4 linked regions of the Elephas maximus indicus genome follow. The protein of the gene in region 4 interacts with the protein of the main gene of each other region in a pairwise test. Links are inferred from orthologs where the notes say so. Each region holds a gene or a part of one and is shown on either strand. Other genes may lie near its edges.

Evidence for each region.
Region 1: the proteins of FMR1 (region 4) and NUFIP1 interact in a two-hybrid assay, tested with the Homo sapiens proteins (2 studies listed by BioGRID). The link is inferred for Elephas maximus indicus from reciprocal best matches to the Homo sapiens genes FMR1 and NUFIP1.
Region 2: the proteins of FMR1 (region 4) and CYFIP2 interact in a two-hybrid assay, tested with the Homo sapiens proteins (2 studies listed by BioGRID and IntAct). The link is inferred for Elephas maximus indicus from reciprocal best matches to the Homo sapiens genes FMR1 and CYFIP2.
Region 3: the proteins of FMR1 (region 4) and PICK1 interact in a two-hybrid assay, tested with the Homo sapiens proteins (2 studies listed by BioGRID and IntAct). The link is inferred for Elephas maximus indicus from reciprocal best matches to the Homo sapiens genes FMR1 and PICK1.

The regions. Positions count from the first base shown.
Region 1 is NC_064832.1:35,299,924-35,307,356, reverse strand, and holds the start of NUFIP1 (FMR1-interacting protein NUFIP1), read right to left. Parts: upstream 3,012-7,433; 5' UTR 2,988-3,011; coding exon 2,576-2,987; intron 1-2,575. Other genes in the region: GPALPP1 (GPALPP motifs-containing protein 1), read left to right, coding at 3,209-3,296. UniProt on the Homo sapiens protein: Binds RNA.
Region 2 is NC_064820.1:173,776,361-173,784,181, reverse strand, and holds the start of CYFIP2 (cytoplasmic FMR1-interacting protein 2), read right to left. Parts: upstream 3,001-7,821; 5' UTR 2,777-3,000; coding exon 2,776-2,776; intron 941-2,775; coding exon 801-940; intron 1-800. UniProt on the Homo sapiens protein: Involved in T-cell adhesion and p53/TP53-dependent induction of apoptosis. Does not bind RNA. As component of the WAVE1 complex, required for BDNF-NTRK2 endocytic trafficking and signaling from early endosomes.
Region 3 is NC_064822.1:181,955,916-181,963,912, reverse strand, and holds the start of PICK1 (PRKCA-binding protein), read right to left. Parts: upstream 3,006-7,997; 5' UTR 2,794-3,005; intron 2,787-2,793; exon of another isoform or gene 2,643-2,786; intron 2,507-2,642; 5' UTR 2,450-2,506; coding exon 2,409-2,449; intron 665-2,408; coding exon 553-664; intron 1-552. UniProt on the Homo sapiens protein: Probable adapter protein that bind to and organize the subcellular localization of a variety of membrane proteins containing some PDZ recognition sequence.
Region 4 is NC_064846.1:8,487,212-8,494,218, forward strand, and holds the start of FMR1 (fragile X messenger ribonucleoprotein 1), read right to left. Parts: upstream 3,014-7,007; 5' UTR 2,764-3,013; coding exon 2,713-2,763; intron 1-2,712.

The sequences.
Region 1 (7,433 bases), on a different chromosome or scaffold from region 4:
GCACCACCTAGTTCTTCTGGTCTCAGGCTCCATCAGCAGCTTTTCAGGAGAAAGTTGTGGCAGTCTGCTTCCACAGATTTACAGCCTTGGGAACACTATGGGGTCACTATGAGTCGGAATCAACTCAACAGCAGTGGAATGGATTTAGGTATCTCTAAGTACAGAAATGGATAATCTTACCAAATGAAATTCCTTGCAGTTATTTCAAATATTAAAATGAAATCCCTGATACAGTTATTCCAGCATCAATCTAATATCAAGAAAACACAGCCTTGTAAAACACATCTTCTCTCAAATCCCACTGCCTCTTTCCATTATCACTGCCATCATCCAACTCAGAAACTCTGATCTTTCACCTAGATTACTATTATAACTTCCTAGACTGTCTTCCAGTTCTTAAGCCTTTCCTCTTCAACTGACCCTGTAGACCAACACCACAAAAATAGTCTCCAATCATGTCACTGCCCTGTTCAAAAATCTGCAAATAGCTTCCTTGAGTCCTTCATTGAGATTCCAGTTCATTTTCTCACCCTCCCTTACACATCCCCGCCCCCGCACCCCACCACTACATAATCCGATGCAATCACACTCGTTAGCTGCCTTTGAGTTGTCCCCACCCCTCGTTCACGGCAACCCCGTACACAACAGAACAAAACGCTGTCCAGTCCTACACCACCCCCACAATGGGTTGCAGATTCGGCAGGCCACTGTGATCCATAGGGTTTTCACTGGCTGAGTTTTGAATGTAGATGGCCAGGCCTTTCTTCCTAATCTGTCTTAGTCTGGAAGCTCAGCTGAAACCTGATCGGCATCACAGCAACACACAAACCTCCACTGACAGACAAGTGGTTGCTTGCACTTGAGGTTCATTGGCTGGGCATCAAACCCAGGTCCCCTGCATGGGAGGTAAGACTTCTAGCATGACCACTGGCATCACTGCCATCTCAGTCACACTAGAACACTGCAATCTACAGAGCCCACCTTGTACTGACAACTGTTTGCCTCCGCAGAGAAAGTACATCCTCCAGATCCTACACAGCTCCTAAGACACTTCCTGCAAAAGCTTTCCCCAATTTCCTCTGCACTCTGAAATCATCTTTTACGTGCCTCTGTCACCAGTCAGGAGCCCTGGTGGCACAGTGGTTAACGGCTTGGCTGCTAACCAAAAGGTCGGCAGTTCGAATCCACCAGCCACTCCCTGGAAACCCTATGGGGCAGCTCTATTCCGCCCTATAGGGTCACTGTGCGTCGGAATCAACTCGACAACAATGGGTTTGGTTTGGTATCACCAGTCGCACTGCATTGTGATTTGTATTTATGAAACTTTATCACCTGTCTTTGGACTGTCTTAGTCCCACTCATATCTCCACCATTTGGCATACAGTATGATATCAATTAAGTACACATTTGAATTCCACTTAGCCTAAATTGAACCTCATGCAGAATTAACTAGCACATGGCTTTAAATATCATCTATATGCTGATGATGCCCAAATTTATAGTGCCACACACATCTCCATTGAAAGTACGGACTCATAGCTAACAGTCTACATGTAGCTCTTCTTGGCGCTAACATATTCCAAACTCAACTCCTGGCCTACCCTTCCAAATCTGTTCCATCCATATCCTTCCCCATCTCAGTTCCTTTTTTGTCTGGCAAAATACCTTAAGTCATCCTTGCCTCTTCTTTATCTCACACTCCTCATTTAATCCTTTAGCAAATCATGTTGGCCCTACCTTCCAAATATATCTGCAATCTGACTACTTCTCATTACCTCCAGAGCTCTATCCTGGTCCTATCTCTCGCTTGGGTAATTTTAACGATCTTGCCAATCTCCCTTACACTCAGTTCCTATCACACCAGCCAGATTAATCCTTCTACTACATAAATCAAATCATGTCACTCTTTTCCACAAAACCTATCAATGGCTACCCATCTCACAAGAGTATAAGTCAAAGTTCCATTAATGGTCTACAAGGCCCTTCAAGGTCAGCCCTCTTTCTTCATCTTCTACAATTCTACCACGAATTCTGTTCTTTCTAGTCAGATTGATCTTATCCATTCTGTTTTACAGCATTTGCCCCAAGGCTTCTGCACTTGCCTATATGCCTCCCCCCCCCCCCCCATATATCTGTGGCTCTGATCCCTGAAGTCTTTGCTCAAATGTTGCCTTCCTTATGAGGCCTTCTATGACCAGCCTATTTAAATTCGCTCTACCTATCATTCTTTACTGCTTCACCTCTTTCCAAAAAAAGAACACTTTTCATCTTCTAATACACAACGTAAATATTTTGATTATTGTCTGTCTTCCCACACTAGGGAGCTGTTACGCTCCACAAACAAGGATTTTTGTATGTTCTGTCCACTGCTGTTTCCAGTTACTGGTACATAGTGAGAACTCAATACAAATCTGCTACAGTAAATGAACAAGCGGGAAAAACATACCAGTCGTACACGGTATGGGACACTAATGACCAGACTCCAAGAGTGCAGAGAAGAACCAGATGTAGAGAGAGAAAATGGAGAAATGGGAGAGAGAAGAAAGGGGTGATACCACAAGGAAAAACAGCCTACCAGAAGAGTTGTGGGACTTCTGATGCTTAGGAAAAGTATCATCAGGAGGCTGTCTCCAGTACCACGATGTCGAAGCCTGGTAATTCCAGAAAGGCTGGACGTTGAGTTGAGGCTGAGAATCAAGAGGGGACTGGGCGTCGAAGGGGGGCTGCGCCCCGGGAAGAAGCTGGGCGTCGAAGGGGGGCGGCACCCCGGGGAGCGCCTGGACCTCCCGGGAGGGCTGTGACTCCGAGGAAAGCCCTGATCCGGGTGTAGGATGAGACGACGGAGGTGGCGGCGGCGGCATCATTGCCCAGAGCATCCAGTTGTCCCGCATCGGGGTAGTGTTATTCAGAGGCCCCAACGTGGGAGTCAACTCGGGGGGTGGAATCCATCCCGACGGAGTCACGAAACCGCTCGCGGATTCAGCCATGCGACCCACCAGGTGGAAACTCTTGCAGGCGAATGCGGAACAAGCTTTTAGCGTCACTTCCGTTATCTTGTATTATACGGCACAGCCAACCACAAATCGAAACGTCATTTGTCAGCGCCGGAAAAACTTCCGGCATCGGTGACGGATCGCGGGCTGCCTTTTGGGTGGGTTTCATTCCGCGCGAACAGATTTGTGTGCGTGATTAGCTCCTGCCACCGCGGATGGCGAGAGACCTGATCGGGCCGGCGCTCCCGCCCGGCTTCAACGCCCGCGGGACAGCGGAGGACGAGGAGAGGGACCCGAGCCCGGGTAAGCGGCGGCGTGTCCCCTGCCCGCCAGGCCTGTCCACCACCTCTCTGGCCGGGGCTGGCTCTCTGAGGAGAGGCCTGAGTGGGAGGACGGAGCCGCTGGGAGTGAGCGCAGCCAACTTTCCCTCCCAAGCCCTAGCAGTAGGGAGGTGGTCGTGGGGGCCTCCTCAGAAAGTAGGGTGCGTTGCGCGAGCTTTGGCCTGGTAATCATAACGATGATGTATTTTCATTTAGCGCTTAATATGAGCCGGACGCTGTACTGAACGGTCGACACATGTTCAATAATTTAATACTTTCGGGAACTAGGTAAAAATTATTGTCATTCCCATGTTACAAACAGAGAAACCAAGGATCCAACGGGTGCCCAGATCACACAGCTAGTAAGTGGTGGAGCCCGAATTGGAACAGTGGAGCCTGTGCTCCTAACCTCTGTGCCGTATTTATTGCCTTCTGAGGACGAGACTCTTGGCTTTCCCAGAAGACTCTTGGCTCTCTAGCCCCAACCCCGTTTTCCTAACCTCTCATTTTGTTTTTATGTCACACACGCGTGCGCGCTCAGTGTTCAAGCCAGACCACGTTTCTGTACAGTTCCTCAGTGCTCTAGGCTCCTTCTGCCCTTATTCTCCTGCACTTCGTTACACACCTGACAAATTCCTACTCATCCTTCAAGACCTCCAACTTGGGTGTCATCTTAATGAAGCCTTTCCAAACCCTCCCAAGCATTGTCACACCTTCCTCTTTGCCCATAGGTTTTCCCTACTTAATTCCATCACATATTTAATGCATTGTATTTGAATTATTTGTTAGCATATCTGTCTCCACCACTGCACTGTGGAATTCCAACCTAAACACATAGTAGGCATTTGGTACTTGCCAAAGAAATGCTTCTTAGACTCCTCCAAGTATATCTATGTTTGTTCTAAATAGTAGATTGAGATTGGCACTATAGTTGGAGAAAAGTAAACTGAAAGAGTCATCTTTCTGTTTCTGGATCTAATGTTTGTGCTTTGATTACCCCTAGGCCATGTTTTACCTAGAGGTTTTCCTTCCAGGTCTCATTTCTGTTATAGCCATTGAAATGCCATGCCCTGTCGCATAGTGGTTAAAGAGCTTGGCTGCTAATGGAAAGGTCAGTGGTTCAAAGCCACCAGCCACTTTGCGGGAGAACGATGTGACAGCCTGCTTCTGTAAAGATTACAGCCTTGGATACTCTATGGAGCAGCTCTACTCTGTCCTGTAGGGTTTCTGTGAGTCGGAATCAACTCCAGGGCGATAGATTTTTCTTTTAGCAAGGAAGGTTCCATTCAACTAAGGCTGAAGAAAAATGTAGTTAACCAAGTTTTGTGGCTGGGTTCCTATGTGTATGTTGTTTCTGGTTCACCGTATTTTCTGATTTTAAACGAACCACCATCTCCCAAATAGATACTTCTATTATGACTCACTTTTATCAGTTTACTTTTTTTTATTTTTTTTAATTCTTTAAGCACTTAACACATTGTGCCTGTAGACATATGTGTATCTCCTTCTACCTGAAAGGAGTGTTTACTTCAACTCAGGTCAGTGCCTAGCACATAAAAGCTCTTTGGTAGATATTTGTTGAAAGACTTCCCTGTTTCACCAAGCACAATATCTTGCACAAAGTTGGCCATTTTTAGCACATAATCCTCTATGCTATAATTCCATTCACATTATAACCTCCCAGATGTTTCATCTAAAACAGATCCCTAAAATTCTGCAGATATCATTTTTTTCCACATTATTCTTTTATTCACATTAGTGTATTCTGGGCTTTTAAGAAGTTTATTGGTAACAATATTCTCCATTTTTTTTTTTTTTTTAACTTTTGTGGCTTCTGGTGAAATTGCATTTTTTAAACCTTTTTATGAAGTACAGTAAACATACAAAAAAGTATACATATAAAAAATTTAAAGATTGATAAAATTTCATCAAATGAAGATACCTGTGATACCAGCATCAGGATCAAGAAATAGAACATTAGCAGCCATAGAGGCTCCCCTTGGACCACTATCCGGTTACTGTTTGCCTCTCCACCCACCCCTGCAACCAAAGGGTAACCATTGTCCTGACTTAATAGCAGCACAGATTCGATTTTGTGTGCTTTTGTACTTAAGATGTGAAAACAAAGCTCTTGACTTCCCCCCAAATCTTCTCCCACTCCTAGCCTTCACCATATTAGAGAATGGTGTTACCATCCCTCTGGCTTGCCAATCATGCCAGGAACCTAAGAGTCTTCCTTAGCTCCTCTTTTTGTCTCATCGCTCCCATCCAGATGACTAGCAGGTACTATTTGCTCTTCCTTCAAAATTTGTTGCAAATTTAACCACTTTATATTAGCTTCTAACTCAGCTCCCCTACTCCTGACCCCTATGTCTATTGTCCACAAGCATTTCTTTTTAAAGGTAATTCAGATCATGTCTCTCCCTACTTAAAACCTCCAATGACTGCCTGTTGTAATTAAATAATATCCAAACTGTTCTAGCCTGTTACAGCATTTCTTGAGTGCATAGTGTATGCCAGATACTGTGCTAAATGCATGTCTTAGCTTATGTAATCTTCACAACAACTATATAAGGTTGGAATTATTATCAACCTCATTTTAGAGAGGAAGAAAATAGCACAGGTTAAATAACTTATCCAAATCACACAGCTAATACATGGCTGAGCTGGAATTCAAAGCCAAGGAATCTGACTCCGAAGTGTACATGCTAGCCCCTTTGTACCAGGCACCTTCATCTTCTTTGCTTACTTTGCTTCAGCCACACTGGCATTTTTGTCCCTCAAGCACATCAAGCTTGTTCCCCCATAGGACTTTTACACTGGCCGTTCCTCTCTCTAGGTGCAGTGGTTAAGCCCTTGGCTGCTAACCAAAAGCTCAGCTCTTCAAACCCTCCAGCCACTAGGCAGGAGAAAGATGTAGCAGTCTGCTTCTGTAAAGATTATGCCTTGGAAACCCTATAGGGCAGTCCTCCTCTGTCCTTTAGGGTCGCTATGAGTCAGAATTGACTCGACGGCAGTGGGTTTTGGTTCCTTTCTCTGGAATGTTCTTTCCTCAGACTGTCGCATGGCCACTGTCATCTCATCATGCGCGTCACCATTCAAATGCCATCTTCTCAGAGACTCCTTCCCTGACTGCTGTTTTTAAAGCTACCCTCCCACATATCTACAGTTACCTTATCCCTGTTTTCTGGAATTGATCTTATTTGCTTCTTTTTATGTTTGTTTCTCAAGAAGCGTTTAGTCCATAAATGTTTGTTGGAGGATGGGTGTGAACTGTTTGTTGAATGTTGAGTAGTTTAACAGTTAAGGGTAAAAGCTCAGATACCAAACTATCTCAGCTTCACTATTTAGTGTGTGAAGATGGACAACTTAGTTATCCTTTCTGTGCCTCAGTTTCTTCATCCGTAAAATGCAAATAATAACATCTCCTTAATAAAGTTGGTGTGAGGAGTAAGTAGATTAATGCACCTAAATTTCTTAAAGAGTACATAGCACATAGGAACTCAAAACGTGTTATTTTTCTTATATTTACTATTTTTAAATTTTCATTATTACTATTGAATGAGTGGCATACCTGGGAAAATCGTATATCCAGGTCCCACTCGAGACCAGTTGAATCGGAATCTGGGGAAAGGGCCCAGGGATCCTTTTTTTTTTTTTTAAGAAATATTTTGGAGATCCTGAAAAATATTCAGGCTTAGGAGCTATGGCAAGCTATGGTAATAGACTTGAAGCATCACTTGTCAGGATCAACATAGACAGTCGTGTCTATGTGACACCATCCATCATGCAGTTATTTGTCATTTTGTTGAGATGTAAAGTGAGACTAAGTCACTCTGGGAGGGGGCCCGAGACCCTTACCACTTTCCCGGCATCCCCTTCCTGGTGTGACTCTTTCTCTTCTGTGTCTCTCTGTTGGTGAACAGTAAAACCTAGCATCACTGTAATTTTGTTTCTGCTTGCAGAGTCATCTTGAAAAGAAAATGGTGATGCCAGTAAGGATACTTTTTTAAGTAGTAGTTCTTAGTCAGAAACCAGAATAGATCATTTCGATTCTTGATATATTCAGGTACAGAATAGTACATTTATTATCAGGTTAACTCTTTGACATAAATATGTC
Region 2 (7,821 bases), on a different chromosome or scaffold from region 4:
AAAGTTACACTTTTCTGTACTGCTTGTAATACAAAAGCATAATTAAAAATTTAACTGATGTTAGCTGAGGCTTCAGGCATGTGTTTAATAACTACATTTAACCACTGGACGAAATTAAAAATAAGTCTTATATTTAGTCTCATTTAGTAGTCCAAGAACTTTCAAAAGGTCAAACACAGCCGAAAATGTCAAATTAACGAGTTCTCTATTAACGTGGCATACTCTCCTCGCACACCCCGACAAGGGGCTCTGTATAAGGCTAACTCCAGCCCCGCTGGTGCCCTTCCCCACCAAGCCCTGACGGGATCACCATCTGAGAAATTCCATTGTTGTTTATCACAAGCTTTCCTCTCGTAGGCAAAAGCAAACAACTGTGATCAGCCTCCCTGAGCCATTACCTGCTGTAGGCAGTTATAGAGTTCTTTTCACACACATGAAGGAGGAGTAATTACCCAGGCAGGCTCTGGGGATTTCTAAACTGCAATATTTAATTCATGAGGTCAGCGCTGCCAAAAGCTTGGTTGGTGCAGCGGCAAGAACAACCAGGAAGGTATTTGGGGTCAGTGCAGTTCAACAAGCCTTCCCTGGGGAAGGGAAATAGTCTTGGTGAACATTTACTAGCTAATCTATTCCTTACATTCAGCTCCAAGAAGGGTGCAAGGAACTCCATCAGCTCTCAACCTTTCACCTTCCAGAAGCAGACCTCCCCCTTCCCTCTGTCTGCAGGGCAAACCCTCTTAGGGGATCCCCAGAGTCCTGAGGCCCATGCACTATTTCCAGGCAGGGCCAGGAGAACTTACCTGGTACATGATGGAGGAGGGCGGAGGCTCGATGCATGGCTGCTGGTCAGGGAGGGGCAGCTCTTCCAGCAGGTCCACGTTGGACAGGGCATCTTCCAGGGTGACGTGAGTCGTCATGGCTGCAGCTTCCCTATTCCGCACTGAGGGAAAGGAAGAGAAGGGCAACAGAGGATTTCAGGGGGCTCTAAACATTTCATCCAACCCCACCCAGTGCAGACACTTTCCGTGGGATAAAGGGGGCTAACATGCATTAAGATCACTTCCACTTGCTACTTCTTCAGAACCATGCTCTAGGGATGGCTGGTGCCCTCAACCTGCACCTTATATATTTGAGGATTTCTTTACAGTTTATGAAGTCCCTAGGTGATGCAAATGGTTAACACACACAGCTGCTAACCGGAAGGTTGGAGGTTCAAGTCCACCCAGAGGCTCCTCAGAAGAAAAGCCCAGTGATCTAATTCTGAAAAGTCAGCCACTGAAAACCCTACAGAGCACAGTTCTATTCTGACACACATGGGTTCACCACGAGTCAGTCAACTTGACCGTAACTTTTTTTTTTTTACAGTTTACAGAGTACTTGTATGCCTATTATTTCAGCTTAGACTCAACAACCCGCTATGATCAACAGGGTGAGTGGGAAGTATTATATTCAAAGAACTCATAAAGAAACAAGGCTCAGAGAAGTTATGTAATACCCATACAACCACAGTAACCAAAGGTAAATGACCTAAAATAATGCCTGACACCAGGCCAGTCAGTCCCCGCCTTTTGCTCTTCATAAGGATATTTACCATTCCACTTTTAAATTAAAGCACAGCACAGATATTCACGATTTCAACAGCCAAGATAACCAACAACTTGAAACCAGAGCCTAGGCTTCATAGGCTAATTAAGCCACCAGTTGCAGCGGCGTCAATTTGGACTCCTGGTGACTCCATGTATGTGACGGGAGAACTGTGCCCCATAGGCTGATTTTTTTGAAAGTACATCACCAGGCATTGCTTCCAAGGTGCCTCTGGCTAGACCTGAACCTCCAACTTTTGGTTAGCAGCCAGTTTACACCATCCAAAGGCAAATAAGCCGGGACTAAAAGAATTCAGGCTCCAGCAAATCGACCTTGTTTGCAAAGATGGAAGAGCCCTCATCTCCCTTGGCCCTGGTATGTTTCGTGTGCCACATCAAACAAATAAGCCCTAAGGGGACATTTTTTGTCTTGGACCCAGCAGAGTGCAGCTGCTTTGAGAACAACATATTTGCCAGGCAGTGAAGATGCAGAGGATCTGAAAAGCACTGCTACCAACTCAAGCCAATTGCTATTTTAAGAACTCAGCACCCAGCGAACAGCTTATCCATCTTTGTTTTTTTTAAAAAAAACACACAGGAAACACTGATAGAAACTGATTGTGATTTAGGCCTTAGAACAAGTTGCCACAAGTTCCCCTAAATATGATATCCAACAAGTCACAGTCAAAGATAACGACACAATGAAATTAGAAATCAATAATGCAAAATGAAGCAAAAAAAAATCCATTCTGTTGAAAACTTATAAAACACTTCAAAGTTATTGATGGCTAAAGAGAAATTCAAATGGGAATTATAAAATATTTTGAACTGAAAGATAAAGCACTAATAAATATATTTATTGGAAAATAAGAAAAATGGAATTAAATGAACCTAATTTTCCATTCAAAAATCTAAAAAAAAAAGAGAATTAAAAAAAATCAACACAAGAAAATGAGAATACAGGAATAATTAGAAAAGCAGAAATAAGTGAAACAAAAAAAGCAAAGCAAAACCAAACAAACGGCAGTAGCGGTGGACACCAATGTTAAAAATTGAGTTTCTAAAAAAGATTAATTAAAAAGAAAAGCTAACCCTTTAGCATGTGTGAGTAAGGAGGAAACCGAGAAGACTCATCTTTCTATTGCGGGAACTCCTCCCTCCCATGCCAATCCCAGGGAGGCAGGAGACATACTTAAGGGTTGAAGTTTCTTGCTTGGATGTCAGCTTGCTTTGCTCAAAGGAAACGAGGCGTCAGGCCAGAGGAGGCATGAACAACTGACATGTGAACCTGGGCTGCAGAGAGTTGAAACAGCTGCAGAGTATACCAAGGTCGTGCTATCACTAAACTAATATTTTCTTTAGACCCAAGGTTGGGAGGGCAGATGGGGGCTGAACTAGGAAGAAAGACAACCTTCACCCACCGCTGAGCAGCTCACACACTTCACTGAGTTCTCAAACACATCTTCCTGTCACGTACTATGGTAATGGTGAAAGCCACGTGCAATGAGGGAATACCCAGCTCAGAAGTGACTTCCCCCTCTGCCCTCTGGGGCATCAGTCCTCACAGGGATGGTTTCAGGTCCCCATCTGCACCTCCCCCTCTTTCTTTGTTCTCTTCTCTCCTCAGAATCCTAAGTGTGACATTCAGCTCCACAGCAAAACCATTTGCCAATCCATAAAAGATTGCCTTCTTTCTTACATTAATGTTAAGTCCATTTTACAGAAGGGTTAATGATTTTACAGGGCATATTAATTCAAAGGAAACCCTATGGCATAGTGGTTAAGAGCTACAGCTGCTAACCAAAAGGCTGGCAGTTCAAATCCACCAGGCACTCCTTGGAAACTCTACGGGGCAGTTCCACTCTGTCCTATAGGGTCGCTATGAGTAGGAATCGACTCGACAGCAATCAGTAATGATTCAAATCTATAACCACCAAAGGCCTAATAATTTCCTTTATTAATTCAAATAATAATAAAACTATCATTTCTTCAGCCTTACTCTGTGTCAGACACCATGCCAAGCACTTGACGATTATAATCTCGCATGAAAACCCTATAAAAGGAGGTACTATTATTATCCCCATGTTACAGATGCGCAAACAGAAGTTCAGAATTTAAGTAATTTCACAAGGTCAAGTGCTGGCAAGTCGTGGAGCTGAAAATAGAACCAGGTTTGTTCAGCTCCAAAGTCTGTGGTCATATTCATGACCCTGTACTTCTGCCCCAATGTTCAGCCTCACTTGTGATACCAGACACATGACTGGAGGTTTATCCTGTATCAGGCTCTGTGCTAAGTGTTTGAAAGATGATACATTAGTGCTTCTCCTGTCTGCTTATGGCAGAGATGCACATGCTCAGCTTCTTCGCATTAAATGTCTGGGCTTCATCCATAGGACTCTGACGACTGTGTTTTTAAAAAGCTTCCAACCTTGTTCGTAATAAGAGAAATTCAGATTAAACTACACAGAGATACTGTTTCTCACCTACTGGACTAGCAAAAATCCAAAGTTTGACAACACACGTTGTTGCTGAGGCAGTGGAGAAACAGGCCGTCCTATACAATGCTAGTGGGGATGCAAAATGGCGCAGCCACTATGGAAGGAAATTTGGTAGTGCTGTGGATTGAACTGTGCCCCTCAAAAATGTGTGTCAACTTGGTTAGGCCATGATTTCCAGCATTGTGTGACTATCCGTCACTTTGTCATCTGATATGATCTTCCTATGTGTTGTAAATCCTACCTCTATGATGTTAATGAGGCAGGATTACAGGCAGTTATGTTAATGAGGCAGGAGTCAATCTATATGATTAGGTTGTATCTTGAGTCAATCTCTTTTGAGATAGAAAAGAGAAAGGTGAGCAGAGAGACAAGGGGACCTCATGACCACCAAGAAAGTAGTGCCAGGAGCACAGTCCATCCTTCAGACCTGTGCTCCCTGCACCGAGAGGCTCCTAGAGCAGCAGAAGATCGATGACAAGGACCTTTCTCCAGAGCCTACTGAGACAAAGTCTTTCACTGGAGCTGGAACCCTGAATTCGGACTTCTAGCCTCCTAGACTAAGAGAAAAATTTCCGTTTGTTAAAGCCACCCACTTGTGGTATTCCTGTTATAGCAGCATTAGATAACTAAGACAGGTAGTATCTAGCAAACTTTCATAAGCATTTTACCCTTTGATCAGCAATCCCACTTCTAGGAATCTATCCCAAAGACACACTGGCAAAAAGATGTCTGTACAAGGTAGTCACTGCAGCACCATCTGCAATGGCCACAGACTGGAAACCATGCACACATCTGGCTGAATAAACCATGGTACGTCTATACGATGAAGCAGCAGGCGGCACCGAAGACAGATGACACTCTACATGCAGTGATGCAGTAAGCTCTTGGACATGCAATGTATAGTATGCTACAATTTATATAAAAAGGAGGAGATGCACACACATATATCTTATATTTAAAAAGCAAACAATGAAAGGATAAACCATGTAATTTTAAAGATTGGTTACCTACGGTGAGAGGAGAAAGGAATGGGAAGGAATACAGTTAAAGGGACAAGGATAGAAACTAGAATTCTTTTAATATATCTGGTTTTATAGATTTGCCTTTAAAACCATGTAAATAAAATTTAAATTTACAAAGTAATCTCCAAAACAAATGAACCTAAAGGTCTATCTGGTTGGCGGCATAACCACACAGAAAGAAACCATCCCAAGTAATTTTAAAATTCATTAATTTGACTGCACATCCTTAGTGGGATATACTCTAGAGACGACAAAGGACTTGTAAATATATAGCTTAAGTTGTTTTCCGTAATTATATTGAGGTACTGTTGCTGTGAGAATATGAGGATTTATTGTCCGGTAAAGAAAATTAGTAATTATGGAATGTTCTAATTCTATCATTTCCTGGCATGAAGTACTGGCATCCTTGACACAGGATAAAGGAGATACGTATGTAAGACTGAGGAGACTAAGTAAAAACCTAATAGTCCTGAACATGGATTTGAAGCATTAGTAAGAACTTACACGTTTTAATAAAAAATAAAGAAGGCGTACGTTTTGTTATGTATCTTTCTACCATAAAACATAACAAAAACTCTGTCCACTGAAAAGGCCTAGAAACAATGCCCAACCCAAGAGCAATGGGCACCCTTGGTGCCCAGAATGTCATATCCAAATATCATTTGGAATCAGTGCTCACTGAAGAGTTGGCTTTCTCTAGGTCTGGGACAGAACATGTATAAAAGTCAAGAAAATCTTGTCATACCAGAAAGCAAAGAAGCTATTAATTTAAGACTACTAGGGTGAATCAAAGGGACCCTGAAGCCAACCTGGGGAGGCTTCCACTGACCAAAGATGGGACAATCTGAGCATCAACTAGCAAAATAACTACAATGGACTGAAACAGTATCAAATATGCTTAAATCTGTGTGATCATGACAATAAAAACTTGGTCTTTATTACTTGGTTACTGTTGGAAAATGCTTGTGAACCAATATTTAACTTGCCTTTCCTATACAAACAGTACCACTGGATAACCAAGTTGTAGAAGAAAGGGATGTTTCTCACCATAAAAGTATTTTTCTCCCCCCTCCAAGAAAATCCAATCCCCTGATGAACAAATGGATGTAGGCATCAATCATCAACAACTGCTAACATCACTAAATGAGAGACAATAACACATTGTCTCCTAATGGAAAAGTATATCACCACCTTATGAAGAAGTCTAGACCCAAAACAAAATACCTTAATCTATTCAGCCTTTGATACTTGTCGTAGTCATCTAGTACTGCTATAACAGAAATACCACAAGTGGATGGCTTTAACAAAGAGGAATTTATTTTCTCACAGTCTAGTAGGTTACAAGTCCAAATTCAGAGCGTCGGCTCCAGGGGAAGACTTTCTCTGTCGGCTCTGGGGAAAAGTCCTTGTCCTTAATCTTCCCCTGGTGGAGGAGCTTCTCAGGCACAGGAACCCTGGGTGGAGAGGAAGTGCTCTGCTCTTGGTGCTGTTTTCTTTGTGGTATGAGGTCCCCAACTCTCTGCTTGCTTCCCTTTCCTTTTATCTCCTGAGAGGTAAAAGGTGGTGCAGGCCACACCCCAGGGAAACTCCCTTTACCTTGGCTCAGGGAGGTGACCTTAGTACGGGTGGTATTACAATCCCACCTTAATCCTCATAACATAAAATGACAATCACAAAATGGAGGACAACCACACAATACTGGGAATCATGGCCTAACCAAGGTGATACACACATTTTTGGGGGGACATAATTCAATCCCCAACAATACCAGTTCACAGGAAACAAAGGACCACAGTGATACAATCAGTAAATTACAATCTATGGGAAACTACTAGACAAATGACTCAGTACCTTCAACGAATAAATTGCAAAAAACAAAAAACACAGAGCAAGAGAACAAGAGAGATGAAGGGAGAAGCTATAGGCTATAAGAGACTAAACAGACTGTCACAATGCGTTGACCTTATTTGGATTCTATCTCAAACAACCAACCATAAAAATAACGGAGTAAAAAAACTTAACAATGATCAGATATTTGATAATATTAAGGAAATGGCAGTGGCATCACTAGGGTTGGTGTCACTCAGTGCAGTAACTCATGGTGTCACACGTCCCCACCCCTGATCCCGCTCCCAGCCCAATGGATCTCCTGTCTTTAGTACTGTTTTTGGTTCTAATGTTTATTTTCTCCTTCTTTCCCTTGAATTAATAATTTATTCTCAAAAAAGGTATTGAATTAGGTTCATAAATACTAATCACCACAACACTGTTTTATAGCTAAAACACCAGAAAATTTGACAAAATCAGCGACTATAAAAATATCGGCAGCAACGAAAACAACAACGCGAGCCTGTGGGATGTGCAGATGAAACCACATAAGTCGAAGTGTCAGTGTAACTGGATAAAATGACATCTCTGACCACAGCACATTAGAAGGTTAAAAAGTAAATTAGCATAGAGTTTTAGCCTTGTAGGTATATCGATACACGTAAGCTGGGCTTGTGAAAAATGTTTTTGCTGTTATAGCTAACTACATGGATATTTTTATTAGAAAATTATAAATTTCTGCTGAATCACTGCATGAAAATTTTATAGACAGTCATTTTGGTGTCACTCCCTCTGACAGTGTCATCCACTGGGGGTCACATGGCCTGCATTCCGCCAGTGACGCAACTGGGAAAATAGTGTTACTTTTTAGGTGTATAAAGACACTGAGGT
Region 3 (7,997 bases), on a different chromosome or scaffold from region 4:
TTCCCATCTTTCAGGTGAGGAAACTGAGGGACAGACAGGCTAACCAACTTGCTAGTAAGCAGAGGAGCTTACATTAGAACTCAGGCCATTCTTATTTCAAGATCTATCCACTACACTTCGCTTGAGTTCGTACCCAAGGCCAAAGGTTTCATAGATTCATTAAAGCCATTTTTATTGCATGTCCACTGCATTAGGTGCTGACCACAGCAAACGAGCAACACAGGGACCCTGTCTTCATACTGCAAAGACTCTGGAGAACAGCCAGGTCTAGAACAAGTGGCAAACCAACCCATGATTACAGACAGTGATAAATGCTGACAAAAAAAAAGCACAGATGGCAAAGATAGAGAAAAACAAGGGCAGACCTACTGAGAGGGCAGGCCTCTCTAAGGAGGACACTTTTCATTTATTCACTTGTTCAAGCCCGCTACCTGAAGACTGAGGAGCCAGCTATGTATGCAGGGTGCAGAAATGAACCTGCCTCCATCATAGCCAAGCAAGGAGGTACTCACCCTTTCCAGGACCTCGCCCCACCTCCAAAGTGCCCAATACCTGGACGATATAGAGGCAGGGGCAGTACTGGGCCCCTCCTCCAATGCTGATCCCGATGAGGTTCTGGGCATCCTTCTGCAGGGTCACCTTCCCAGGCACGGTAGGGATTCCACTGGAAAAAGAAGAGCAAGGCTGCATCTCCTGGAAGAAGGATGACTGGAAGACACAGGGCAGGGGGTGGGTCCTCCAAAACCCCCGAGAGGCTCCAACTGTTACATAACCTTTGCTCTGCCTCACTTGACCAGAAAGGCAGCATTTTGTTTTGGAAAGTGCACAGCTTTTGGAGTCATGCCGATGTGCAATGAAATCATAGATGTACCATTTATCAGCTATGTGATATGGGTAAGTCACCCTCTCTGCATCTCAGTTTCCTCATCCATAAAATGGGAATAAGACCACCTTATTATCAGAGTTATTGTGAAGAAGTGCATGGAAGATACTTAACCCCAACCCAGCACATAGCAGGCACCCCATAAAAAGTGGTTCCCCTTCCCATTTCTTCATTCTCTGAGATTTTACTCAGACTCTGTCCTTGTCACCTTCCTAGGCACATATGGGACAGTATGGCCACCTCCTCTGGGAAGCCCTCCCCTGTTCAACCACCCACTTCCCATCTGCTCAATTACTCTACATCTCAGTTTTTACTATATATTAGCACTTATTTATGTTTCATGGTAAATATTCTCATTTATTCACCTATTCATTCAAAAACATTTGCTAACGCCCTATGATGTCAAGCACCTTACTAAGTACTGAGCAGTGGCATCACTAGGGTGGTGCAGGAGGTGCAGACCACACTGGGTAACACTGTCAGAGGGGGTGACACCAAAATGACTGTCTATAAAATTGTTATGCAGTGTTTCAGCAGAAACTTATTACGTTTTATAAAAATATCCCTGCAGTTACAACAACAAAAACCTTTTTTCGTAGGCCCAGCTTCCATGTATCGATATACCCATAAGGCTAAAACTCTATGCTAATTCATTTTTTGAACTGTCTAGTGCCCTGCGGTCAGAGCTGTCATTATTACCCAATTACAATGACACTCTGAACCACGTGGTTTTGTCTGCATGCGCTACAAGAACGCGCTGTTGTTTTTGTTGCTACTGGTGTTTTTACAGTCACTGATATTGTCAAGTTTTCTGGTGTTCTAGCTACAATATTGTGGTAATTACTATTTGTGAACCTATTATCAGTAACTTTTTTTGAGAATGAAGTAGTAATTAAAGGAAAAGAAAGAGTGATATACGGAAATCACAATTTAGGAGTAACATCAGTACAAAAAAACATTGCTAAGGATTCTGTATGGACTGGTATGGGAGAAGGTCCATGGAGGGGTGACATCATGAGTTACCGCACTGGGTGACACCAACCCTAGTGATGCCACTGGGGCTGAGGACACAGAAAGGCATTAATTGGGCCCAGCCCTTGCTCTCATGGAGTATATATTCTAATGCAGAGACAAACCTAAGTTTTAAAACTCTGTCCCACTAATTGTCTAGATTGGGAAGGAAGGTATGGCTATGACATTTCTATTTATTCTTCAAAACTCAGCTCAAGCCTCCGTAAAGCCTTCCCTGAACACCCCGGCAGAAACACTGCTCCATCCGCACGGCTCTCCTCGAAGCCAGGTCACTCTCCATCAGGGCCCTTTCAGCCCTGAGCTGTAGCTGCCAATGTGTCCACAGACCCCTACAGATGGTGAGCTCCTGGAGGGCAGGGTCTGTTTCTGTTTCAGCACAAGTCCTGACCCACCGCAGGGGAGCAAGAATTTGTGGAACCGAGAAGTCCAGGAATCTGAGGGACCCGCCGCTCCCTCAGAGCACTCCCAGGACTTGGGGGAACAAAATACTCACAGTTTATCCTCCTCGATGTCATAATCCAAGTCTGCAAACATGGTTCCGAGAGTTGGGATGGGCTGGCTAACTGCAAACCTCGGTAGGGGAAAAGGAAACTGGATCCGGGAGAGAAAGGAGGGTAGGGTTTAAGGAACCGAAGTGCCTGCATGCCAAACCCAGCCCCGCAGATTTGGGAGACCTGGGAGAGCCTCACGATGGAGGGTCCTGGCTGGGGGTGGCGGTGATTCTTACTAGGTACAGAGAGGAGCTCCAGGCCAGGATGAAAGGCTCAAATTCCAAAGCCCGCCCAACGGGTCTCCAGGGCCTTGGGGGCCGCCTCTGTCGCTCACCGAAAGCGTCGGTCCCACAGCCGGGACCCTGCCAGGCTGGCACCTGAACCTACCTGCCGTTCCACCTGTCGGCGGCCGCGACTGTCGCGTCACTTCCGGTGAGACGCGGAAGTCCCGCCTTCCCTCTCCCTGAGGTACTCGCCCCAATCCCTGCAGGCAGCCTTTCCGTCTCTGGCTCCAGGGGCTTCCAGAACCAGGAAAGAGAACAAGTATGGACGGGAGCTCGATGTTGGTTTGAAGAAGCGGAACAGAGAAAAGGTCTGGAGGAGCTGACTGCGCTTAGCCCCGCCCCCTGCCCTGTCGCCGCCGCCATCTTGGTAAGGGCAGGGTTCTTCCCAGGTTCCTCAGCGGAACGCAGGGGACCACGCTGTCCGGACGGTTGCCGTGGCAACGAAAGCATCTCTGGGCGGGGGCTCTCGGACGAAGTTCAGTGCACTACAAACCCTGAGACCCTCCTTTTCACATTTTCAGCACCCGGGCCTAGACCAAGCCTGGTGACGCCTTTACTCGAGTGTCAACTGGAAGGACGCTTTGAAATCTCAGCTCTACTTTCACAGCAGGAAACTGAGTTCCAGAGAGGGGAAGTGATTTTGTTCAGTGCCACCCAAAGGTGAACTTGAGCCTGAGACACCAGCCGCCCAGTCCAGTGTCCTTTAAGAACGAGACACTAAACTGGGAGTCAGGAGACCTGTATTCAGCGGGTCTGCTATTAAGGACAAATCAGACAAGTTAAGTTACCTTCCCTTTACATGCCTCAGTTTCCCCATATATAAACTAAGGACATGGAGGTAGAGGCTTTCTATCATCCTCTCCAGTTCCAGACCATGGTATTTGGTGAAAGACTCCTCATACCCTCATCTCCTTCCTTAGTGCTGAGGAGCAGTTCCCTGGGGGCCCAGCGAGGGTCACAGCCCCCATTTACCTGTGGATCAGGAAACGCCATCAGTACTTCCCAGCTGAGGAGTCCGAATCTCATGTCCCTGCCAACCTCTTCTGCCACTGCTGTTGTGTAAAACGAGTTTCCTGGAGGAGGTTGGCTCTCCCAGCCCTGGCGTCCACCTCATTCAAGGAGCATGGGGGCCAGGCCTGCCCACCTTCCTTCCCTAGCTGTCCCAGGGGCTGTGGAGGAAGGGGAGATGGAGGAGGATGATTACCCATGTACCCCAAGCCTGGTGGAAGTCCCGGCCTCTCCCTCCTTGGGGAGCTAATGCAGGTCTCAGCAGATCTGTGCCTCTCTGCAGTTCAGATCCCTTTCACAGGACTTTAAGTTTAAAGTTCCCTGCGCCCCTGGGAGGGGAGAACAAGTATTGTCAACCACAGTTTTCAGGTAAAGAAACTGAGGCTCAGAGAAGCAGCTACCCCTCTTGAAACAGGTGGCTAATGGCAGGGCTGGGGCTGGAACACTGGGCTCCCTCCACAGGGCTGGAACCACTGAGCCCTGTGTTTAGGCCAGAATTTCTATTTTCAAAAAAGCAGCATCTTCCACCCCAGATGCTTTAACATGCATTGTGGCTCTTCCACCCCAGGACAACCTGAGCTCAAGCTTGGGCTCTGCCGTTTTGTAGCTGGGAATCTTGGGCAAGTCGCCCTTTGCCTCTGAGCCTCAGGTGTCCGTAGAGCGAGGCTAATGGTCCCTCCCACGATGGTATTTATAAAGATGAAGAGAAAAAAGAGAAACGGGGGTGAAAGAGTTGCGTGAGTGGTTCACATGGCACAGATGGTTGCGGTTGCTACTGTCTGTCTTAGTCATCTAGTGCTGCTGTAACAGAAGTGCCACAAGTGGATGGCTTTAACAAAGACAAGTTTATTCTCTCACAGTCCAGTAGGCTAGAAGTCCAACTTCAGGCCACTGGCTCTAGGAGAAGGCTTTCTCTCTCTGTCGGCTCAGGAGGAATATCCTTTCCTTCCCCGGGTCTGGGAGCATCTTGGTGCAGGAACCTCAGGTCCAAAGGATGCGTTCTGCTCCCAGCGCTTCTCTCTTGGTGGTGTAAGGCACTCCTGTCTCTCTGCTCACTTCTCTCTTTTATATCTCAAAAAAGATTGGCTTAAGACACTAATCCTGTAGACCTCATCAGTATAACTGCCGCTAATCATCTTATTACATCATAATGATAGGATTTACAACATATAGGAAAATCACATAAAATGGTGGCAATCACACAATACTGAGAATCATGGCCCAGCTAAGTTGACGGATATTTGGGGGAGACACAACTCAATCCATGACACTGTCATTTTTCATTTTCATTATTTTGCCCAACCACTTCCGAAGGCAAAGCCCATGGCACGGTTTGAGGGCCTTAGTGTGCTGGGGCCCCTGCCTCAGACACATCTGAAGGCATCTTTAATGCAGATTCCCAGACTCCCTCTCAGACCTATTGGAGCAGTCTCTGGAGATGGGACTTTGGAGGAGGCTGTGTTTTCACAAAGCTCTAAAGGTGACTTCATGCCCCCTGCAGGCTGAGGACCTCTGTGTCCGGGGCCCAGAGGTACAGTGTGCAGACTCAGGGTGGGTCTATTTGAGCGCCCCAAGAATCCTTCCCCAGGGTCCTCACTGTCCAGGAGGGTGTCCAGCGTGTTGTGTGGGCCCAGAGGTGGGCTCCTGCCCAGGCCAAAGGCCAGAGAAGGCTTCCTGGAAGAAGTGACATCTCAGCTACTGGTACACGGGCCAAGAAGAGGGGAAGGGAGACAGAGGCAGAGGGCACAGCTGGTGCAAAGACTTCCCGTGACAGGCAGTGGGGGTTTGGGGGGGACAAAGCATAGTCTCTGTCCTCAGGGGATCACAGTTTGCAGAGCTGACAGGCATGGTTGAAGACTAACAAGTGGCTGGTGGGAGAGAGTGAACCACCACCTCAGCCAGAGTCACCGGTCAGGAGGGGCCTCAGAGAGGACTGTTTGAGCACTTTCCTCAGGATGGGTAGGATTCTGGGGGGTCAAAGTTGGGGTGACAACATTCCAGAAGGCTCTGGCTAGTCCTCAAACCTTCAATCTCCGAGCTTGATTTTCCTTCTCCCCTGCTGCTGCTCTGGAGCCTGTCCAAGGCAGGCAGGTGACCTCACAGGAAGCCCAGGCCCTGCCACTGGAAGCTGTGTGGCCCAGGCAAGTCCTAGCTGTGCCCCCACTGGGCCTGGGTCCTTTCAGAGAGTTCCGCTCTCAGTCTCACAGTCAACGCTGAAAATGCTTTCCCAGCCTCTTATTTCCGGGGAAGTGCTGCCACCCAGTGGTCATTGGGAGAAGCCTCTCCTAGAATCCCAGAACAGCAAGGCGAGTCCCGCCCTTTGCACTCCTGTCACTATCTCGTCCCCTCCCAGCTTGGGGCTGGTTGAGGAGACCATGAGTCTTTGCAGGCTGTGGGCGGTGGGTGAGGCTGGTCATGTGCATACCACACTGTGACTGACCTGCCTGCCCTCAGCCGCTGCTGCAACCCCAGCACAGGGCCTGAAATACTACTTGAGTCACTGTCTGGCATCAAAGGCCCCTGTAAAGGTCAAGAGACCAAGGGTGGGATGATGGAATTTGGTTCAATTCATCATCAGCAGAGAAGTTTAGAGCATGGGCTTTAAAGTCAAGAGATCGTCATGAGAGTCTATAGAAGAATCCAGATCAAAAGGGGGAAATTTTAGAACAGGATTTCAAATTCTTATGGAATCTAGACTTTCTGGAGCCATGGAGGCTGGATGAATTCCTGAAACTATTCCCCGGAGATAATCTTTAAACCTTAAACCAAAAATATCCCCTGAAGTCTTCTTCAAACCAAACAATAATTTAGCTTAACTAGTAAAGAATGTCTGCCTTGGGCCTTATGCTCGTTAAAGATCTATCTATATGGGATCTAATTGACAACAACAACATGAAAGATTAGACAGGAACCTCAGGGGGGCAGTGAGTTTATGTTAATGGGGGAGGAACAACTCAGAGAAGGAGAACAAGAATGGTTGCACAAGTCGGAGAATGTCATCAGTGTCGCTGAATTGTACATGTAGAAACGGTTGAATTGGTGTATGTTTTGCTGGGCATATTCTCAACAACAACAAAATAAATAAAAATTTTCAAAGAGTTCGTAACGATGACAATAATAGCAGGTAACACTTATGGAGCAATTACTATATACCAGGCAATGTGTTAAGCAGTTTCCATTCATTACCTCAGGTAGACTTCACAACAGCCCTCACAGGTGGGTCCTGTTCATTCACTTATTCAGTCATCGATAAATATTTATTGAGCCCCTACTATATCTGGGCCATGAGCACAGCAGGGAACAAGACGGGCAAAGTTCTACCCTCACAGAGCTTGTGACTGGGAGGAGGTAGGCAATAAGCTGGGAAACAAAGAAATGGGCGACTTTCAGCTGGTAACGAGAATTATGAATACGTAAAGGGGGGTAAGAAGGTGATGGGACTAGGGGGCTTTTAGATGTGGTGGTCAGAAAGGGCTTCTCTGACCAGGTGACCAGAGACCTCTGTGAGAACACCAGCTTACAAAGACCTGGGAAGTGTGTTCCTTCAGCAGGTATGACCTGACACCTTCATACCTTCCAGGAAAGGCCGGGCTGGCTGGAGCACACCGAGGAGGTGGAGGGGGCTGCGAGAAGAGGTCAGCAGGGGCCAAATCATGTGTCATCATTACCCCTACTTCACAGATGAGGAGACTGAGGCTCTGAAAGTTCTGCAACATCTCCCAGCAAATTCATGGGAGGGCCAGATTTTGGACCTGAGGTGTCTGACCCAGACCCCACCCTCGGACCCCTATGCCTTCTGGTCTGTGGTCGTGAACAAGTGAGCCAGCCTTCTTATCTGCCCAAGCAGGCTAACTCCCCCACTTCAAAGCATTGAGTAAGAGCCCAGTGGGAAAGCTCACGATTGTGAACTCATGGGGAGCTCATAGGGTCGCTGGACAGAGCATTGGCTCAGGTGGCAGCTGGACCCACCAGCTGTGTGACCCTGGGAACATCGACCTCTCCGAGCCTTGGTCTCTGTGTAAAATGAGTATCCTAAAAGCCCAAGAGCTTGTTTTAAAGTGTAACTCAGGTCATGACATTCCCCTAAAGTCCTCCAAGAGCTCAGCCTGATTCCTCCTTTAGCCCGTTCACTTTCTGTTTCAGGGCCTCTTACTGGTCCTAGAACATGCCAGAATGTTCCCACCTCTGGGCCTTTACTCTTGCAGTTCCCTCCGCCTGGAACACTCTTCCCCAGCTATGCTCACTCTCTCACCTCACCCAAATCTCTACTCCAGTATCACCTCCTTGGAGAAGGCCTCT
Region 4 (7,007 bases):
TTTAGAAAATGCTTTATAAAGATTTTGTGAGTTATAATTCAAAGTGTTTCACGTCTTAAAATAACGCAAGGTTCTATAAGTGGTACATGTAACTGACTCAATGTGAAAGAAATATCTAAGCAATAAAAACAGTGGCTCTGATAATTACTAATCTAACTTTCAAATTTTTAAGAATAAACATGAGAGGAAAAGTAGAAGTGAACTATTGCAATCTTAGGGTTTAGGGTTCATGGTTAATTCTAAATCCTGAGCTTCAGCTATGTTCTAGAGAAAGAATAAAACTGTTACCAGCATATACTCAGTACTGAGTTTTTATTTGCAAACTTGGAGCATGTGCTCAGAAGATGGAGAACTGTACTTTGCAATATGGTGGCTCTGTTAGGCAAATCAAAGTCTGTGTTCAATTATAAAGAAGTTATTTCATTTGTTTAGTTTTTTTTTTTTATCAATTCAATGAACAAGGTTCCTTTTTTTTAATAAATGCAACATATTTCTCTACAGCAGTTCATTTTTGATTGGTCTTATTTCCTATTTTTCATGTCCATCCCACCAGACATTAACGACAAGCAATTCAGTTTACTTTGTTGCTCTTTTATAACTCACAGCAATATTATGAGCTAAATAAACAGCTAAACTTTTTTCATTACAGAAACTCTTTTTTCACCAATACAGATCAGTTGAGATTTTCTTAAAAAGAAACCTTAATTAAATAAACATAACAGCAACTTCTCTTCTCCTCTCAAAGAGCTAAGGAACAATTGGTTCTTTTTTTTTTTTTTAAGTCACCTTCAAATTAAGCCACTTGGTTAAAAAACAAAAACAAAAAGGGAGCTTAATGGCAATGATAGGGGGCATTTCTTATATTCCTATCGGTTTGCAAGCAAAATCACTGGAGCAAATCATGTGTTGCTGGAAAAGAACAATAAATCCTTCAAGACCAGGATGTGCTACTTGCCCTCTATGGCAAGCAAACTCTCCTAAAAGACATAAGGGTGGTGTCCAATATAAGCTGATATTATAAAAAAAAAAAAAATCAGTTAAAATACTGCTCAACCATTAGTACCTGGTCATGTATACTATAGTTAGATCCACAAAAATAGTGACTAAAACTACAAATCTAAGAACCAGAACTATTCTACACAAACCATTAGAAATTATGAATTGCTGAAATAAATGCATCCACAATTTTGACTGCAGAATCAACTGTTAACAATTTTATATTGGTGAGACGGTGAAGAATAAAAAATGCTGAGTTAATTTTCACTTCCTTGTACAGCAAAAGGTTTTATCATTCTTAGTGGAACAATTTACATTCTTTAGTCTTTTATGAAACATACTCATCCCCAAATGTTGCGATAAAATTGGTAAGCTTATAGTCTGTTAAGTAGTTGAGTCAATGATTGCTTTTCTTATAGCCAAACATGTCCCTTTGAAACGTTAGTTACTCCGTAATACTTTAACAATTGTGTTGGACAATGGCCATAGCTATTTTCCATGCTTCCTTCCATGTGCACCTTCTGTTGACAAAATACTCTAGTAAGGTGGGATCTTACTTACAGAAGTTATACAGACATTGAAGAGGAAACAAAAATTCATAGATTACTGTAGTAAATATGAACTAACAAACCCCCTACTGATCCACCAAAACATTGCTTTTAATTCTGTTTTTCTCAAATGTAAGATATTTGTTGATGTGCAATGATGTAACTTCAAAAATAAAAACCCACAGTAGGACTATTAATGCCTATTCAAAACCCCTACAACACAGTCCTCTGCAACATTACACATCCAAAGAGAAGAGAGGCAAATACCTATACTTAGAGCACAAAGCAAACATTTCCAAACACTCCGTTCTTAAAATTCCTCAGTAATAAGACAGTCCCAATTAATTTTCTCAAGTTTCATGAGGCATATATTCAGGTCTTTGGGGAGTTTAAAAAAAACGAAAAAAAATTTTAAAGTGAGTAGTAGAGTTGCTAATGTTTTTTAGATGCTGTATTCCAGAATTTACCCACGTTAAAAAAAGGGAGGGGGGCCGAAGGAGAAGAATTACCAACTTCTTTAATGCACCGATTGCCCAGATATGTTAGGCTCTTTCTGGAACTTTGGAGGCTCTTGTAAAAATGCACAAAGAGAGAGAGCAGTAAACCCAGTTACCACCGTGATTTGGGACTGACGACCACTTCTTACTACTCTGTCTTCACACCTCGCCCAGAACAGCGGCGCTCTTCGAAGTCCCAATCCTGGACCAGAAGGCGACGCCAAAGGGGACCTGAAAACCTCTGGGCCGGACAGGCGGCGGCCCGCCGAAGGCGCCCCCCGCTCCTCCGCAGCTCCCCCACGTCAGGCCGGAGCCCACGGGCGGGGAGCTGGGCGACGGAGCAAGGGGACGGAGGAAGCGGCTGTCGCCGTCCCCGCGCGCCGATTCCGGCCCTTCCCGCCTGGCTCTACCTGCCGCCGCCCTCGCCCATCCCCAGCCTGCCGCGCCGGGGCTTGGCCGGGGTGGGCGCCCCTTCTCCTCGCCCGTGTCTCCTCCCCACGGGCGCCGGGGGCTCTCGAAGGCTCGGGGGGCTTCCCGAAGGCCCGGCGCCCGTCCTTCCCCACACCTCCAGCCGAGCGCGCCGGCCCGGCCCCAGGCCTGCCTCCCGCCGAGGCCGCGAAGAAAAGCGAGGGAAGGAAGGGAAGAGATGGGGCCTGCCCAGAGCCGAGTACCTTGTAGAAAGCGCCATTGGAGCCTCGCACCTCCACCACCAGCTCCTCCATCTTCTCGTCGCCCCTGCTCGCGCCGGGAGCCCGCCCCCGGGAGGTGGGCTGCAGGCGCTCGAGGCCCAGCCGCCGCCGCCGCCGCCGCGCTCCCGCACGCCCCCCGGCAGCGGCGCCGCCGTCACCGCCACCGCCTGCGCTCGCCGTCGGCTCGCTGCCCGCTCCAAGGCGGCCCCTCACCGGAAGTGAAACCGAAACGGAGCGGAGCGCCTGACTGAGGCCGAACGCTGAACGCCGGGCCGCTCCGCGTGTAAACACTGAAGCCGCGTCACGTGACCCGCGCCGCCCCTCCCCCCGCCGGCTCGGCCCCTCGGCCCCGCCCTTCCCTTCCCCGCGGCCTCTGGAGCGCGCGCATGCGCGCTGTGGGGAACCGGCTGGGGCGCCAGGCCCGACGACGGGCGCGCGGGCTCGGCGTGTGCGGGGGATGGCCCAGCGCGGGAAGGCGGGAAGGGCAGTGACGGGTCGCGTCGCTTCGCAAAGCCCAGCGATGACCAGGGAGCCTGTCACTGGAGAGGGTGAGAGGAGGCGTGGGAAAGGGCCTCCCGTAGCGATCGCCTGCATTCAGTCATCTGAGGCCAGGCTGCTCAGGGTGGGAGGTGGTGGTTTATTTTTTTTGTTGTTGTTGTTTTTTTAAAGCGGAGCAAAGGCTTATTGAGCTGGAGGTGGAGTGGGAGACAAGGATAAAGGTGAATTAGATTGGAGGAGACTTTAGTAACAGTAACAACCAGTTCATCCAGGCTAATGTGACCCTTAGAGGCAGACAGGGAGAAGAGCGCCCACCCACACCATGACATTCTAGGCAGAGTAGGAGATACATCCCAAGTCCCTTGAGGGGCAATGGATTGTGTTGGCATCTCTGGAAATTTTAGCTTTCCCTCAGACCCGAGACTAACCCACATGTTCCCTTTCGGTCAATTCAGTTTCATACTTTTACTTGACATAAGTATAAAAAAAAGTTAAGCACTTGTTCATTTCTCTACAGCTCATATCTGCCCCTACTGTGTGCCACCCTGTACCAAGAGGGTAGGTGGGCATGTGCGTAGCAGACAGGCGATCTGCCTACAGGGGCCTTGCACGACCCATTTCCTTGCAACTCACTTTACTCTCTATGGTAAACAAAACCCAAATCTTTCTCATCTCTGCCTCTGCACCATGCTGTATCCTCCTGGGCCTGTGTTCCCCTTGTCTGGGGTGCTTGTATTCAACTGAAAAGTTTATTGAGTGCCTACCATGTGCCAAAGCTCGTAGCGACCGTCTAAGACAGAGTAGAACTGCCCCATAGAGTTTCCAAGGTGGGTTGGCGGATTTGAACTGATGACCTTTTGATTAGCAGCCCAACTGCACCTATAGGGTCGCTATGAGTCGGAATCAACTCTACCTCAACGGGTTTGATTTTTTGTTTACCATGTGCCAAGGAAGCTCTGGTGGTTGAATGTTAAGCACTAGGGCTACCCAAAAGGTCGGCAGCTCAAACCCACTTGGTGGATCGGCTCTTCAGGAGAAAGAACTGATGATCTGTTCCCGTAAAGATTATAGTCAAAACCCTGTGGGACAGGTCTGCTTGGTCACATGGGGTGCTATAAGTCGAAATTGACTGGAGGGCACCTAACAACAATAACTCATGTGCTGGCAATACATGAGTGAGCAAAAACAAACAAAAGCAAAACGGCCAACATCGAACTTGAAACCTACAGTCCTAAAAACCAAAAACCAAACCAGTTACCATTGAGTTGACTCCAACTCATGGCAGCCCCATGTTTTGCAGAGTAGAACTGTTCTATAGAGTTTTCAAGGCTGTGATCTTTTGGAAGCAAGTTTCCAGGCCTTCCATGGGAAGCCCTGGTAGTACAGTAGTTAAGAGCTTGGCTGCTAACCAAAAGGTCGGCAGTTGGAATCCACCAGCCGCTCCTTGGAAACCCCATAGTAGTTCTACTCTGTCCTACAGGGTTGCTATGAGTCAGAATCGACTTGACAGCAGTGGGTTTTGGTTTGGGTTCTTCCATGGCACCTCTGGATGGGTTTGAACCACCAACCTTTTGGTTATCAGTCAAGCACATTACCGTTGATGGGCATAAATTATCGGAAAAGTAAATGTAGAGTTGCAGCTGTGATAAGGGCTATGAAGAATAACCAAACCAAAAAAGCCAAACCCATTGCCATCAAATAAGTGCACCTATAATAATGATGAGACATGACCTAGTGTGGGGAGAGGAAGGTGTGTTTGGCGAAGGGGAAATGACTCAAGCTGGAATGTGAGGGGCCAGAGTTAACTGACAGATGGGCAGCACTGAGTTGGGGGAAGTAGCATGAACTGCCCCAGACAGATGCCCCAGAATGAGAGGCATCATTGAGGCCCCGTTCCCTTCCCACCCCACCCCCAGCCAGAGCAGCAGCATCAGAGCTGGTGCAGTCCTAGCTCTAAGGCAGCAGCTCAGAGGCCACACTCCTTGAGGCCATAGTAAACCGGAATGACCCCTTGGACTAGAAGAGTCTCTGGAGGAGTCACAAGATGGGAAGACTCCAATAGAGATTCTCGCCATAGGCTGGACTGGATCAGAGTAGATTAGAATAATTATACCTTCCATGTGTAGAGTGTTGCTCAAGTTACCCAGTGCTTTCAAGATATCAGCCCTCCACAACCACCTTTACTGCTCGAGCCACATGCTTCCTGTCCCCCAGCAATACTTACCCTTAGCACTATCCCTTAGCACTGTTAGCTGGATTTCTGTGAGCTAGTTATTTTACCTCAGGTGCAGAGAGTGAAGTTGCTTTGCACCTCAATTCTCAGCACATTGTCATCATGAGTCCCTTCAAGGCCCTTCTCATGTTTAAGGTATTTTATAGTGTTTATATTATTTATATTACTTTTTCTCATCTCCCTCAATCCCCACTCTCATTCTTCTAGGCACCCATTGCAATTTGTTTGCTATGATACTTGATAATTTAAGATGCGCAGTATTTTCTGTATGCCTTTACACTTACAGAAATGTTATTGGACTGTAAATCTCTGGTTCCCACTTTTCTCACTCAACACTATGTTTTTGAGCTGTCTCCACATTGCTGGGTGTACCCCTAGGTTGTTGCTTCTACCTGCTGCTGAGTATTCCATAGATTTTACTTACACATTTCCCTGGTGACGGGCATTTAGGTTGCTGCCAACTCCCCAGTGCCACACTGTGATGAACTCTTGTGAATACCTTCACAAATCTTTGGAGGCAGTTTCTTGTGTACTCTTGTAGAACTTTGTACAAACTGCCTGCTTCCTCTTCACACTGCTTGGCATAGAGCAGGGACTCAGGAAATGTTGAATAGCTCAACTGTGATGGTGAAATGTACTGGAATTGCTTATTTATATTTCTGTTTCTCTCAATGGACTGTGAGTTTCTTCAGGACAGGAAAGATGTCTTATTTATCTTTGTGTCTCTGGCACATTAAAAGTGGTTGGTTCCAATAAATATTCAATGAATGAGTGAATGCTTATACCTAAATGTACTGTGACTTAGCCTTGCCCACTTGCCTCTGTGTCTCAGCCTCACTCTGATCTCTAACTCTTGAAATTTCCCCTTTCAGGATAAAAACCAGTTTCTTTCAAGATAGCCCAAGTGAATTCAGCCCTGCCTCAGAGTCTGCTCCTCCCATATTCTCCCCTTACACAGTTAATGGCAACCCCCTCCTTCCAGTGAGTAGCTCAGGCTTAAAAAGGAGTCCTTTTGGACTCTTTCTCACACTCTGCAGCTACAAATCCATCAGCAAATCTTTTCAGAGTCCAGAACCTACTTCCTACCACTTGTGCTGCTAAAACCCTGGTCCGAGCCCCATCTCTCTCACCTGGGTTACTGCAATAACCTCCTCACTGGTCTCCCTGCAGCTCCTCTTGTCCTCGTCTCTCTATTCTCAACACAGAAGACAGAGTGACCCTGTCCAAGTGTCCATCAAGTCACTCTGGCACTCAAAGCCCTCCAGTGATCCCTAAATGGCTCAGAGTAAAAGGCAAAAAACCCTCCAATGATCCCTAAATCTCTCAGAGTAAAAGGCAAAGTTCTTATTTACTCTGGCCTCTGTTCTCTACATCTTCTGACCTCTGTTATTTCCTCTATGGCACCCTCTACCCTTCCATTCCATACCCCCCCCCATTCCAGCTGTTTCTTGAATACACCAAGTAGGCCCTGTCTGTCTCCCCTCACTAGAATGTAAGCTCCGTTAAAACAGTGTTTTCTTCACTGCTGCATCCCCAGTGCCTAGTA